Linked DNA regions of Drosophila melanogaster. The protein of the gene in region 2 interacts with the protein of the main gene of each other region in a pairwise test. Each region holds a gene or a part of one and is shown on either strand. Other genes may lie near its edges.

Evidence for each region. The genes of interacting proteins can lie anywhere in the genome.
Region 1: the proteins of CG1523 (region 2) and mbt interact in a two-hybrid assay, tested with the Drosophila melanogaster proteins (one large-scale study listed by BioGRID).

Annotation. Positions count from the first base shown.
Region 1 is NC_004354.4:16,608,510-16,615,739, reverse strand, and holds mbt (mushroom bodies tiny), read right to left. Parts: upstream 5,056-7,230; 5' UTR 4,549-5,055; coding exon 3,378-4,548; intron 3,307-3,377; coding exon 3,035-3,306; intron 2,964-3,034; exon of another isoform or gene 2,466-2,963; intron 2,203-2,465; coding exon 1,726-2,202; 3' UTR 884-1,725; downstream 1-883. Other genes in the region: CG9782 (uncharacterized protein), read left to right, coding at 82-230; Nup153 (nucleoporin 153kD), read right to left, coding at 6,642-6,735. UniProt on the Drosophila melanogaster protein: Involved in neurogenesis of the adult central nervous system, and together with Cdc42, regulates photoreceptor cell morphogenesis. Phosphorylates exogenous substrates when activated by Cdc42.
Region 2 is NT_033777.3:28,816,567-28,821,932, forward strand, and holds CG1523 (uncharacterized protein), read right to left. Parts: upstream 3,103-5,366; 5' UTR 2,949-3,102; coding exon 2,656-2,948; intron 2,605-2,655; coding exon 2,235-2,604; intron 2,109-2,234; coding exon 906-2,108; 3' UTR 776-905; downstream 1-775. Other genes in the region: Prp39 (pre-mRNA processing factor 39), read left to right, coding at 1-232, 291-597; CG1647 (uncharacterized protein), read left to right, coding at 3,772-3,951, 4,006-4,152, 4,222-4,430, 4,493-5,366.

The DNA.
Region 1 (7,230 bases), on a different chromosome or scaffold from region 2:
ACTAGAATAGAAATCTTTAAAATCATCTCTCTATATCAAGTTATTAAATCCATTACTAACTAACGCTTTAACTATCCCCAGTGAGCCGTCGCAAGCTGTCGAAGCCCGCCAAGGCGACGCCCGTGGAGGCGGTGGAGGATGCCGCCGCTGAGGAATCGGAGCAGCAGCAGAAGGAGGAGACGAAGCCCAAGCGCCCCATCGGTCGTCTGGCCCTGCGGAAGCGCAACTGAGCGTTGATTTGAGTGTCAATCAGATCCAACTCCTATTCTACACACATTCCCAGTGACCAGCAAACAACAAACCCTCCCCCCCCTCTCCAACACCACATTTCCCCTCTCTCTCCCCCCCCCCCTCTACCCATCGAATCATATGGCTAGCTATGTGGCAGCCCGATCTGCCCTTTAGTTTTTAGTTCGCAATTGATTTTTCGTGTATGTAATATATTTGTAATCTTATGTTGTAAACAAAAACACACGCGCACACACAACACTCACTCAACTCACACACACCCACCCACCAACGCCACAACGACCACGCCCACTTATCCAGAGCCAGTACCCCATCCTTCATGTACGCGATAAATACGCATATATATTTTGCGAATATATGTGCGAGTATTTAAGCGGGCACAATTATGTATTCTTCACAACCATCAAACAATCAATCAATCAATCAAACAATCAATCAACCAGTAATAAAAACAACAAAATCGAAACATGCATTTTTCAATTAGTTTGTAATAAAAAAAACAGAAATATCTTTAAAATGAAACTCCAAAATGTCGAATAAAATATTAAAATATTCAATATTTCTATTCAGAAATTTTTTTTTGGATTTCTAGTTATTTTTGGTAGTTTTTAACTATGAATGAAACCACAAAATTGAACATTTTCGCATTTAAGTTTATTCATTAATTAATAATTACACGGGTTAAATCAAAAAAACAGAACAAAGAATGTAAGCTAAAAGTTCTAAAATATTTTCGAAATCGGGAATGTGTTTAGATATATGCATATGTGTATGTCTGGAGCGTACAAACTTTTCACACCAATGTAAAATGTAAAATGTTTAAAAAATATTTATGTCGAAATTGTATATGCTCTTCCGCCTAACGCTATCTCTTTCTCTTTCGTTTTCTGTCTCCCTTCGATTCACACCTTCGTTGTTTCGCTTTTGCTTAGAATTAGGATTTGTTTTTATAAAAAATATATGTGTATATATATATATATATAGATTTTTAACATTAGCTCTTAGCGTATATATGTATATATTCGAACAATGTTTTATGGGCTGGTTAAAAAAAATCAAACACACACGCACACAAATCAATATTGACAAGAGACAGAGAGCAAAATGCTGAAATACTCATATATGTATATATATATATATATATAAAAATGTGGTTCTCGGGCAGATAAATGCTATATCGTTTCTCCATCCGTATCGGTTGCAGGATGCGATTTCAATTTCGATTTCGAGGCTTGTGAAAGGCACATTGCGTTCTCTTCTGGAACGTTAGTGGGCATGGATATGGATATGGATGTGCGGAGCTTAAATGACTTTACAACGTTTCGAGGATTCTCCGGGGATTTAAGTACAGCTGCCAAACTGAATGTTAATACTAGAATTTAATAGATGGATGCCCACGGGCCGGGATCCGTTGTCTGTGGGAATGATTGCTTTCATCGAGCAGCCGGATCGTCTGGGTTGTCCAGTGGCATCCAACTACGGATGGTGTCGCGCATTGCGCATCAGCGGAACCAGCAGCGACGGCGGTCCTGCCTGGCGCAGGAAGGGATGGGCCAGCAGCTCGGCGGCGGTGGCACGCTGCGCCGGATCCCGCACCAGCATCCGGTCGAGGAAGGACTGCAGGCGCGGCGAGACCTTGTGCGCGTTCTTCAGGTTCGGCGGCTGCATGTCACGGATGCGACGCATCGCCTGCAGCGGCGGTTCGTTGAAGAACGGCGGCTCGCCGTCCACCATCTCGATGACCATGATGCCCAGCGACCAGATATCCACTTCCGGGCCGTACGGCAGGCGCGATATGACCTCCGGCGACATCCAATACGGCGTGCCAACCAGACTCTTGCGCTTCGGCAGCTCCTGTGACACCTGGGCGCAGAATCCAAAGTCCGATAGCTTCACGCGACCATCGGCGGCCAGCAGAATCGAGTCCGACTTGATGTCGCGATGAATGACGCCCTGTTTATGGTTTATCGCCATCGGCAGCACCGTCGAAAGAGACAGAGAGAGAAGGGAAATTGGTTAAAAGCGTTCACAGTTTGCGGTTTTCCCCCAACCAACGCCCTTTCTCCCGCAGACAGACACTTATCGCATTACACGAGCCAACGTGGGACAGAAATGCACAAAAGAAACCAGATCGACCCTGCAACGCCCAAAAAGAATTTCCTGCTCTTGGGAACACGCTGGTTTCCCTAACGTGGAAGATAGCATAAACAGGTTGGGTTCTAGTTCTAATTTCATTTAAATAGACTACATCTAAAACATTAGGAATGCTTAGTATTGTGAAATGTTGGGGCTTAAACAAGTTCCAATTGACTGACTGACTTAATATTATTATTATATGCTATTCTAATATTGATAGTTTTAATATCTCAAGTTGTATCTCAGGCAAAATCATAGCAAATTGGCTTATCTATCAATGAGTAATGAACTATAACTTTAAACTTCCTTCATCATAAGATGCAATTAACTATCCATTCGAAAATCGCTCTATGCACACTTTTCGCTTTGAGGTAGGGCATGCACGTGCGATTTCACCTGGCACTTTGGGCGTGCTACGCCACTCGATGGCCCACTGTGCGGCCGACGACTTTTGTTGGTGACAACATTTAGAAATTGAAACCAAAGCCACGCGAAAGCGGAGGGCGAAGAAAGCGCCGCAAATGGCAAGGTACAAAGGCACAAAGAATCGCATGATGGCGAGTACTCCGTTCTCTGCTGCCCAGTTTGGCCAAGGGAATGGTAATGGGAACGGGGACAGGAAAGGGGCAGTGTCATGCTGGTCACGCACCTGTGAGTGCAAATAGGCCAAAGCCTTCAAGCATTGCTTGCAGACGGTGGCTATCTGCTCCTCGTCCATGCGCGAATGGGTGACAATATCGGTGAGGGCGCCGCCCTCGAGGTACTCCATCACCACCCAAAGCTCATCGTTGACCAGAAAGCTGGAGTATGTCTCCACGATATTGGGATGATGGTAGTCCCGCATGATGACGACCTCGTTGAATAGCAGCTCCCGTCGCTGCTGTTTGCGCAGATCCATCTTCTTCACGGCCACCTGGCGACCTGTACGTAATGAGAAAACCAAATGCCATTAATTCAATGGTTTTGACAATAGTTAAAGCGGATGTTCTTGCCTGTGGATTTGTCCGTGGCAATGCATACGGTGCCCGTGGAGCCCTCGCCTATTTTGTTAAAGTGGTCGAGGTTCTCGCGTGGATCACCGGCGGAGACCACCATCTGAAGGGCGGCACGGAACTGTTCGTGGGTGAGTCGTTGGTCCTGCTTTGGCTGACCCGCCGCTCCTCCACTGGCGCCGCTCGCCTGCTGGGCAGCACTGCTCGCTCCCCCGCTGGAACTGGATGCCCTGGACGCCGACTTGGCCAAATGTTGGTGATGGTGCGGATGCGGATGAGCATGCGGATGCAGAGGATTTTGGTTCTGATCGCCACCCTGTTTGGCCTGCTGTTGCTGCTGCTGCTGCTGCTGATGGCTTGTGGGATACATGGGAGGATAGCTGCCGCCGCTGTTGCCATTGTTCGTGTGCGAGTGATTGGATCGCGTGCCACTGGCCACCGAACCCACGGGCGAAGTCTGCTGTTGCTGGGGCATGGAGCCGCCGGATGGCGGGGCCAGATTGCTGCGATACTGCTGCAGGTTGGTTTGATCCGTGCGCACGGCCAGTGGTCCTGTTGCTCCATTCGCGTGCGCATGCTGACTGTTATAGAGCAGGGAGGGATGGGCACCGGGTGGCTTAAAGCCACCGCTACTAGCTCCACCTACTCCCGGTGTTCCAGCTGCCGGTGGTCCCTCCTCCTCCGGCACCGATGGCGGCACATTGGCTACCCGTCGCACTCGCGGCGGACTGGAACTCCGCAGCGAATTGGATCTGGCCACGTGAGAGGTCTTCGGCAGGACTATGCCGCCCGTCTCGGGTGGCATCATCATTCCGGGGCCATGGCTCATCATTGGGTGTGCGCCAGGTGCCATGGGATTCATCGGCGCCATTGAGCCCATCATCATTGTGCTGCTGCTGTTGAGCGAGGTGGTGTCCGCCTTGTTGTTGTTGTGATGCGGACGCACAATAGTCTTCAGATCGAGAATCTCGGTGGGCGTAATCTCCGAGGGATCGACCAGTGGCAGCGGGCGGTTGGAGGACTTGAGTATCTGATTGTTGCCCACAATGGACGCCCATTGGAGGGGCAGGCCAACATATTTGTTCTCCCGCTTGTCGAAGCCCGTGTGCACACGATGCTCAAAATTGCTGGGCATCGAGATCAGCGGTTTCTTTTTCTTCTTCGAGAACATCTTCAGCGACTCGGATTTCCCGTGCTCCAAATTTCTGCCCTTTTACCGCCCTTTTCCACTCCACACCACTCCTTCCCTCTCGCTCTTGCTCTCTATTTTTAATGTGTAATTTTTTTCTTTTTGTTGCGTCGCCCGACAATGGAAAATGCACAAACAACAAACGATGGCAACGGCAAATCCGACAGAAACAACAACAACAACAGCACACAACTTCTTCCCGATCTCACTCACACACACACATGCAGGGACACGGGCACGCACGCACACACACACGCATAGCAGCGGACGCGACTGGGAAACTGGGATTCAATTGGATATGGATGGACAAATCGAGATGCGCACAAGCGATACACCTTCACCACTTGCTCCTCTGGCTGGCACACATTGCACACATTATGGCGACAGCACGAGCGCACAAGCAATTCGCTTAACAAAAAAATAATAAACCTAGGGAAATAATTGCCGATGCCAGAAATAGAGGTGGTGTTTATCGTGAGTATTAGTGCTGGAACGGCTATCGATGTCTATCGCAATGGCGGCAGTGTGACCGTTGCCGTGGCATGGTGAGTTCGCCTGTGGTCAACTGGCTTTTCGAAATTCAAATGTTTGTAAAGTATTCGCGCTGAAAACAATTACCATTCAAAGTAAGATATGTACTTTAAGACACCAAATATTCGTTATAGAATTTCATTGCAATTCCAGTTGAAAACCCAAGTAAAGAGCACAATGTTTAAATTATCATACCGCATATATTTACTTATTTACATTATGATACCGTTTCTCTCTCAACATAGACTTCTGATTTCCATTTCTGTTCTCGACTTAAAAATGATCAATATAAACTTAAAATAAAATATTAAATGTTCTTTATGAATTTATGTATATAAAAAACATGCATACAATTATAACTCTTTCGGTTTTCCAGTTTGCCACCATTCTCTCTAATCTTTTCATCTAATCTGTTATCTTGTTAGCTATAGGGTTGGTTGGTTTCTTTACGTTGCTAGATAGTTGTTTTTCTTTAATTTGTTGGCTTTCCACCTTGGCTGCTGCACAGAACGTCGTTGCAGGTATTTTCCTCGTGTGAATTGTGTGTGTGTGAATCTAAACGCTAAAATTAATAACAAAAACTAAAGACTTAATGCAATCGTTTGCCGATCGCTCTTATCTGACTGCAATCATCATATGCTCGACGTATCGGCCAATAACTCGAATATACGTATTACTACATTATACAGTAGTTGATTTTTTGCGCTATTACATGGCCTCGCATCTCTGTTTGATTGCAGCATTACACGTTTCTTTACTATTTCGCAAAATAATTATTACATAATTATCGTTAAGGTATATTATATATTCAACAAAAATAACGTTAAAATATATTCATTTTCGTTTTTTTTTTGGTGCGATGAATTCTCGCGTAAATCCAACGAAGTGTTTTTATAATTTGTAATCATCAATATGCGTAGTATGAGCGACATTCGCGTGGTCATCTCCCAATCATCGGAGAGCAGAGAAGGATGTGGAACGAACCTATTCCTTAGCTTTTTAAGAGTAAGTCGGAGGCTTCTGTCTCGGTTTCGAGATGACGCTCCTTTGCCGCACTATCTTGAATTGGGTCCTTACTAGTACAGTTCGTTCTGTTGATGTATATACCGCTGAATCTCGTTCCTCCTGTTGGTTGTCCTCCTGGTCGCCAGTTGTTGGTGTTTTAGGGACATCGTCGCCATTGGTTTCATTGCCTTCTCCTGTTGTATTCTGCCAAATATTCCTGCTAAAGGGTTTCCTGGTTTCAGAGTTCAGGCTGTGGCGGCGTACGAAGCGGTATTTGTTCACACATGGCGACTTTGGTGACTGCATGTTTATCCTCGATGATCCTTGAATATCTGGCTCCTGGTGATATTGGCTCTGGACCGAACCTTTGAGCCCACTATTGTTGCCGGCGTCTTCTGTGTCTTGCTTTTCCTTTTCGGCCCTTGATGCTTTTGCTGCTACTGCTGATTCTGTTACTCTCGGCAATGGCTGCCAATATCTTAATCCTAATCCGACGGCGGCCTCATTTGCTATCGTGATGGCCGACTGCGATGCCATTTCTACCGGGGCGGCAAACGGCGTACGGGGGCGCGGATTTTGCGGCGAGCCGTCTGGGAACTCTGCGCCGAGTTGCCCGCAGCTGGCGGATTGAAGCTGCGGATTAACAATGGATTAGTATCATTATCATATTTGGTTGGTCAATTTCGAGACTCCCACTGGCGGTTGCTGCTGCTGCTTACAGCGAGTAATGTGGACAAAAAACATTAATTGAACAAATAATATATGGATACGAAATGCTATGAACAAAACGAAACAATATGGCACACACAAATAAGACAAACACAAACTATAGTAAAATATGAAATTCGCAGGATATAGAAAATGCTACATATATCCTATTTACACAATGGTAAATAAACCATTCCGTGGAGGAAATGGATGCGTTTTTAACTTCGATTTAGTTTTCACTTGTGGCCAGTTTCCATATATGACAATATGATTAAAATGATTGATTTATAATACTATTCATTTTTCATTAGTTGATTTTTTTAAGCACAGCTTAAACCAGTTTTTTATGAACATAAATGGTAAATGAGGGCGAAAACATATAGTAAGTAATGATTGTAAGAATTTTGTCTCTCTAAACTT
Region 2 (5,366 bases):
TGCAAATGATCGATTTGTGCCTACAGCGCCCAAAAGTCGATGAGCAGGAGGTAGTCGAAATTATGGATAAGTTCATGGCTCGTGCGGACATCGAACCCGATCAGAAGGTTTTGTTTGCCCAGCGCAAAGTGGAGTTCCTTGAGGATTTCGGCAGCACGGCCAGGGGTCTACAAGACGCACAGCGCGCTCTGCAGCAGGCACTCACTAAAGCCAAGGAAGCGCAAAAGAAAAGGTAAGAAATCCATGAAGATGTATCCACACTCATTCATTAATCATGGACATTCCAATAGTGATGGCAGTCCTAGTCGCAAAAACTCATCAAGCAGCAAAGAAGGTCCTGTCCCCACAGGATCCGCGGCGGCAGCTTACAACAATGGTGGCTCGGCCGCAGCAGTCGCAGGCTACAACTATGGAGCAGCAAATCCATACTATGGTCAGCAGAATACCGCAGCAGCCTATCCCTCACAGACGCCACAACAGGCGTCCTACGACTCTTACTACAATCAGTGGGGCTACGGTTCCGGTGGGGCCAGCGCCAACAGTGGTGGTAGCGGCTACAACTACGGCCAGTGGAGCGGTTATGGCAACTACTATTAAGTTCGCTGCCTAGATGTAACCCACTCCGCCACCTGTAGCTCTAAGACGCTACGGCTTGTTTAGTTTTGCCTTGCTGCTCTGTTAAGTTGTACACATCTAATTGTAATTTTTTATCAACCCCTATTTGAGCCCACAAAATAACCCCACCATTGCGAAAAATAAAATATACCAGCTTTTTATCGGTCCACCATAATCGCGTTGCTTGTATTTAGCCAATATATGCTTGAAATAAGTCGAATTATGCCTAAATAGAAAATTAAATATACAGATTGACAGTGAGCGCGCTCTTCGCCCGGCTCAACTGAAGTCTACAGGTTGGGTCGATACCAGGTCACCTCGCCCCCGTTGCATCCGGTTACAAGGAGCGGTTCCCTGGGGCTAAACTTGGCGCACAGAACGACGTCCTGGTGTTCGGTGATCTTGGCTAGCTCAACCAGTTTCCGCGGTTTGCTTTTCACCTCCTCAAACGCCTGACATTTCGGATAGTCGCAGCAGTCCTCACTGTAACCAAAGAGTCTTACCCCATTGCCGTACGGCGAGCAGACAACCCGACCGTCCGCGGAGAATCCAGGTTCCTTGATGAAGCCCGGTTTGGTGTTGGTCTCGGCGGCATAGTAAAGCAGTTTCTTGGCATTCACCAGTATTGAATGACCGTTTTCCTTGAACGTTGGCGTTGTCACAGGACTATTGAATGATCGCAGACGCAGCCTGTTTCCGATCTCTAAGCGGACTGTGGTGTCGCTATTGTTGCTGGAGCTGGAGCTGCTGCTGGAGCTACTGCTACTGGAGCTACTGCTGCTGCTCTGGTTGCTTTCTGTGGGCGGCGGGGTGGTCAGGGGGCGAGGACTGGTGCTGCTGCCCATCAGACTATTTGCCCCCAATTGTCTTAGCGGAAGCACTCCGCTGCTGATGGCGTACACAAAGTTATAGCCGCTGACATGGTTATTGGAGACGCGTGCACGGTTCTGTCGGATGGCCCGCTCCTGGACTGTGACCTCCGCCGCCCAGATGTCCGGTATGAAGGAATCCGAGCGTGTCAAGACTGAAGGGTTGTCAGAGGCGCCACGCCCTGCTCCAGAGTTATCCAGTTGGAATACTTGTACACTGCTGACCCGCAACGGTCTCCGTGCCTGTCTGGGAGTAAGGCCAACCGTATCCTGGTCCTGGGATTCATTCAACGAGCTGCGGCTGGCTAGTGTGGTGGACACTCGCTTTCTCTTGGGCTGTGGCTCCACCTCGTCCTGCTCATCCTCGCTGCGCACCGGCTCCTCGTTGATGTCGTGGATGCAGGTCCACTCGCTCTGCTCGTCGCAGCTGACGTTCCTCGTCAGCATGCAGCAACAGTGCGGGTGAATCTGCAATGCCATGATCATCTCGGCGTCGTTGTTCTCCGGAAAGTCGGTGACCAGCTCCACGCGGTTCTTCTTTTGACGCTTGGAGAACACATGATCGTACTTTGCGGCCTGCGGGATATACTGTTCGCCCAACTGCATAAGTCGGTAGATACCGGGCTGGAAAATCAAACGGGCTTATTAGTTGACCATCTATCTACATATGTAACCATTTCATATATCTGGACGAAACTTAAAATCTTGAACCAAACTGAAAATCACAGCGATATTTACAAACTTTCTTACCCTGAATCCGCACAGATCTTTGTGGAGCGTGGTGAGGTCAAGGTGATGGATAATCATAATGTATCCACCGCTTGTGCAGAGAACCAGCTTATCGCCCGTGGGCGAAATCCTGCAGCGCATCAGTCCACTGGCATGAAATACGCGCTGCGAGATAAGGCCCTGTTCAGTCTGCGAATTGATGTCCCAAGTGAAGATGCTGCCATCGAAGCCGGAGCTTACGAGCAACTTGTCCTTGGAGGAGTACTCGATGTTCTTCACCCAGTTGGAGTGGCCGTGGAGGACGCGCAACTTCTGCTTCATGTTCCGCAGGTCCCACAGTGCCACAGTAAAGTCATCTGAACCAGTGGCGAAGAGGCGCTCGTCAAAAAATCTGGAGCGAGGATTAGCAACGAACCTCCTCGAAGGCAACTTCTACACTTACTTGATGCAATTGACACTATCTGTGTGGGCGTCCGGTACCTTAAAGATCTCCTTCTGTGTGATGGCATCGAAGACGAGGACGCACTTCCTCTCCGTGGCGGCCACGACAACGTTCCCATCGGCATTGAACTCCAGGTTGAAGATGGCCCCAGTGCGTCCCGCATCCGTGGGCCAGCAGTTGGCGTGGTAGCTATTAAACATGTTCATCGAGCTGTAAATCCGCCGCATCAGGGAGTTGTCGTCGCTCCGGTGGATGTGGAAGCCACTTTCGCGGCGGCTCAAGTACCGCTCCATCGTGTGGGCTCTGGGATCTCTTAAGTGGATCGGAAAACCTAGAGGAGTGTATGGGTGTGTGCCTTCTCGCGATTTCACAGGCACCGCGATGCAATTTCCCCGTGGCCTTTCTTGTGTTTATTCTGAAACCAGGGGTGCAACGCCGTGCTGCTTGTAACCGATTTCTTTTTACAACTGAACAATCAAGAATTAAGAAAGTTGAACAATGGTAGATTCATCAATGGTAGATAATCATCTGGACTTAAAATATCCTTTTTTGGCACAATACTCTGTAAATTAATGGAATCGATTCTTTTTGCTTCGCCGTACGATGATTAACTTGAAGTATTTTTCATCCAAAGCACTTATTGCAATTCAATATATTCTGAAATTACGATGATACAATTTCATAGTGTAGCCCTGAAAACGAAGTGCTTTTAACACCACTTGTAAAAATAGTAAACAAACATCTTTTTAGTAAAGACGTACAATTTGTTTCAGTATTTATTCTGCAACTATATAACATTATTTATTTATAAAAATTTTTGACAAATTTTTTATATTTAGTGATAAGAAATAGCCAATAATGTGATTTTATTGGCTAAATATTTTTTTTAACGAGTTTCAAAAATTATACTTAAAATCAAATTTGCTAATTTTGAGATAAGCAAAAAATTCGATCCTATCGATAGCACATCGATTTCTACCAACCTTGTTAGCCGCTGACCAACACTAAGCGTATTGGAATAAACAAAATGCAAGTTCAACTGGAGATAAAACCTTTAATCATGCTAAATTACCGGTGAATAAAGCCTTTCGAGACAAATTTTAAGATCCGGCCGAAATGGATCGGTTTGCTTTTAAGATCGACGCTGCCCTCAAGGCGAATCTGTGCACGATCTGTCGTCTGTGCGGCATCGATAATCCAGGAAAAGTGCCAATACTTTTGCCAAATGAAGAAGACACCATCGACCTGGACGAGCCTAGGATGTCCCAGAAGATCTACGAGCTGGTGGGCTTCACTGTGGGTGTTTTTCTTAAAAATGTTCATAGCCAAGTTAACCAACGCCCTTTGCAGGTGTCCGTGGACGACAAAATGCCGCAGACAATTTGCAGCCAGTGCGTGGATAAAATCAATGATTTTTATGAGTTTCGGGAAATGTGCTATGCGACGAATAAACAGACTCGAAATCTATTGGGATTGAAGCAAATAGAGCCCGCAAGAGTGAGAAAAACGAATAACTATATTATAATTTATAATTATACGAACTAATGTATTATTTACGCCTCACAGTTAATTGATCTTAAGCGCATCGTTAAGGAGGAACGGCCAATATCTGGTGCAGTTGGAAAACGGGGAAGGAAGCGCAAGGGCGAGGAATCCTGGCCAAAAAATAACAATGTCAAGCCACAGGTAAAAAAGGAGTCCTTTGTGTGGCACAAAAAGCAAAAACTACAGCCATCACAGATAACATCTTTAGTGTCCAAAAGAGAGCCGGAGATGTAACTATAACATACATTCCTCTTGTTCTATTTGTAAATAATTCCCATTTTTATTATCCCAGCAAAGACGAGCCCGCTGAACAGGACACCAGTCTTAAGGGACCACCGAAAAAGGCCGGTCGCAAGTCTATTTGCAGCGTTTGCGGCGAGAAGTTCCTTAGCAAGGAGCTGGCCGACGAGCATAAAAGCCTGGTGCATGTGCCATCGATACCGCGATACATATGTAATGCCTGCAACCAGACGCACCACAACCAGAGCGACATACGCGCCCACCAGCTGTGGCATAAGCTCTCCAAGACTCCCTACAAGTGTCCCCTGTGCGAGTCTAGCGTAGCCAATGCGTATGCTTTTACGCGCCATTTGCGCGAACACACACCACCCACTCCCGTCCAACTGCTCGTCCTGGATCGGGAGTGTCCGCTGTGCAAGAAGACTTTCGTCACGAACTTCTTCTACAACACTCACCGCTGTGCCATCCGTAAACGCAAGTGCGGCGGTTGCAGTCGCACCTTGAACACCGAAGCGGCCTATATGCGTCATGCGCCAACCTGCCCAAAGATTTACCTCAACCACTCGAAGCACATCATGCCCCAGGTGGTGACCAATGAGGCGCAGATGTTAATCAAGAACGAGATCGAGGAGGAATTGCTAGGTCTTCCGCCGGCCACAACAGTGCCGCCGGATTTCGTCATAGACGAGGGTATGCAACCGGTAGTAGTTCTGGAACGCCTGTCATCGCCACTTCTGCGGTCTTCGTCTGGAACCGATCAACTGGTTGCTGCCAAAAGCAAAAATAGCGATAGGGTTTCTGCCAGGAATTATTTGAAACGAGTGGATCAGCTGCTGAAGAATACGATTAACACTCTGGTCAGCATTAAGCATGAGCCAGAAGTGCACATAAATGACACGGGGCCACCTAGAGGTCAAGCCGAGAGT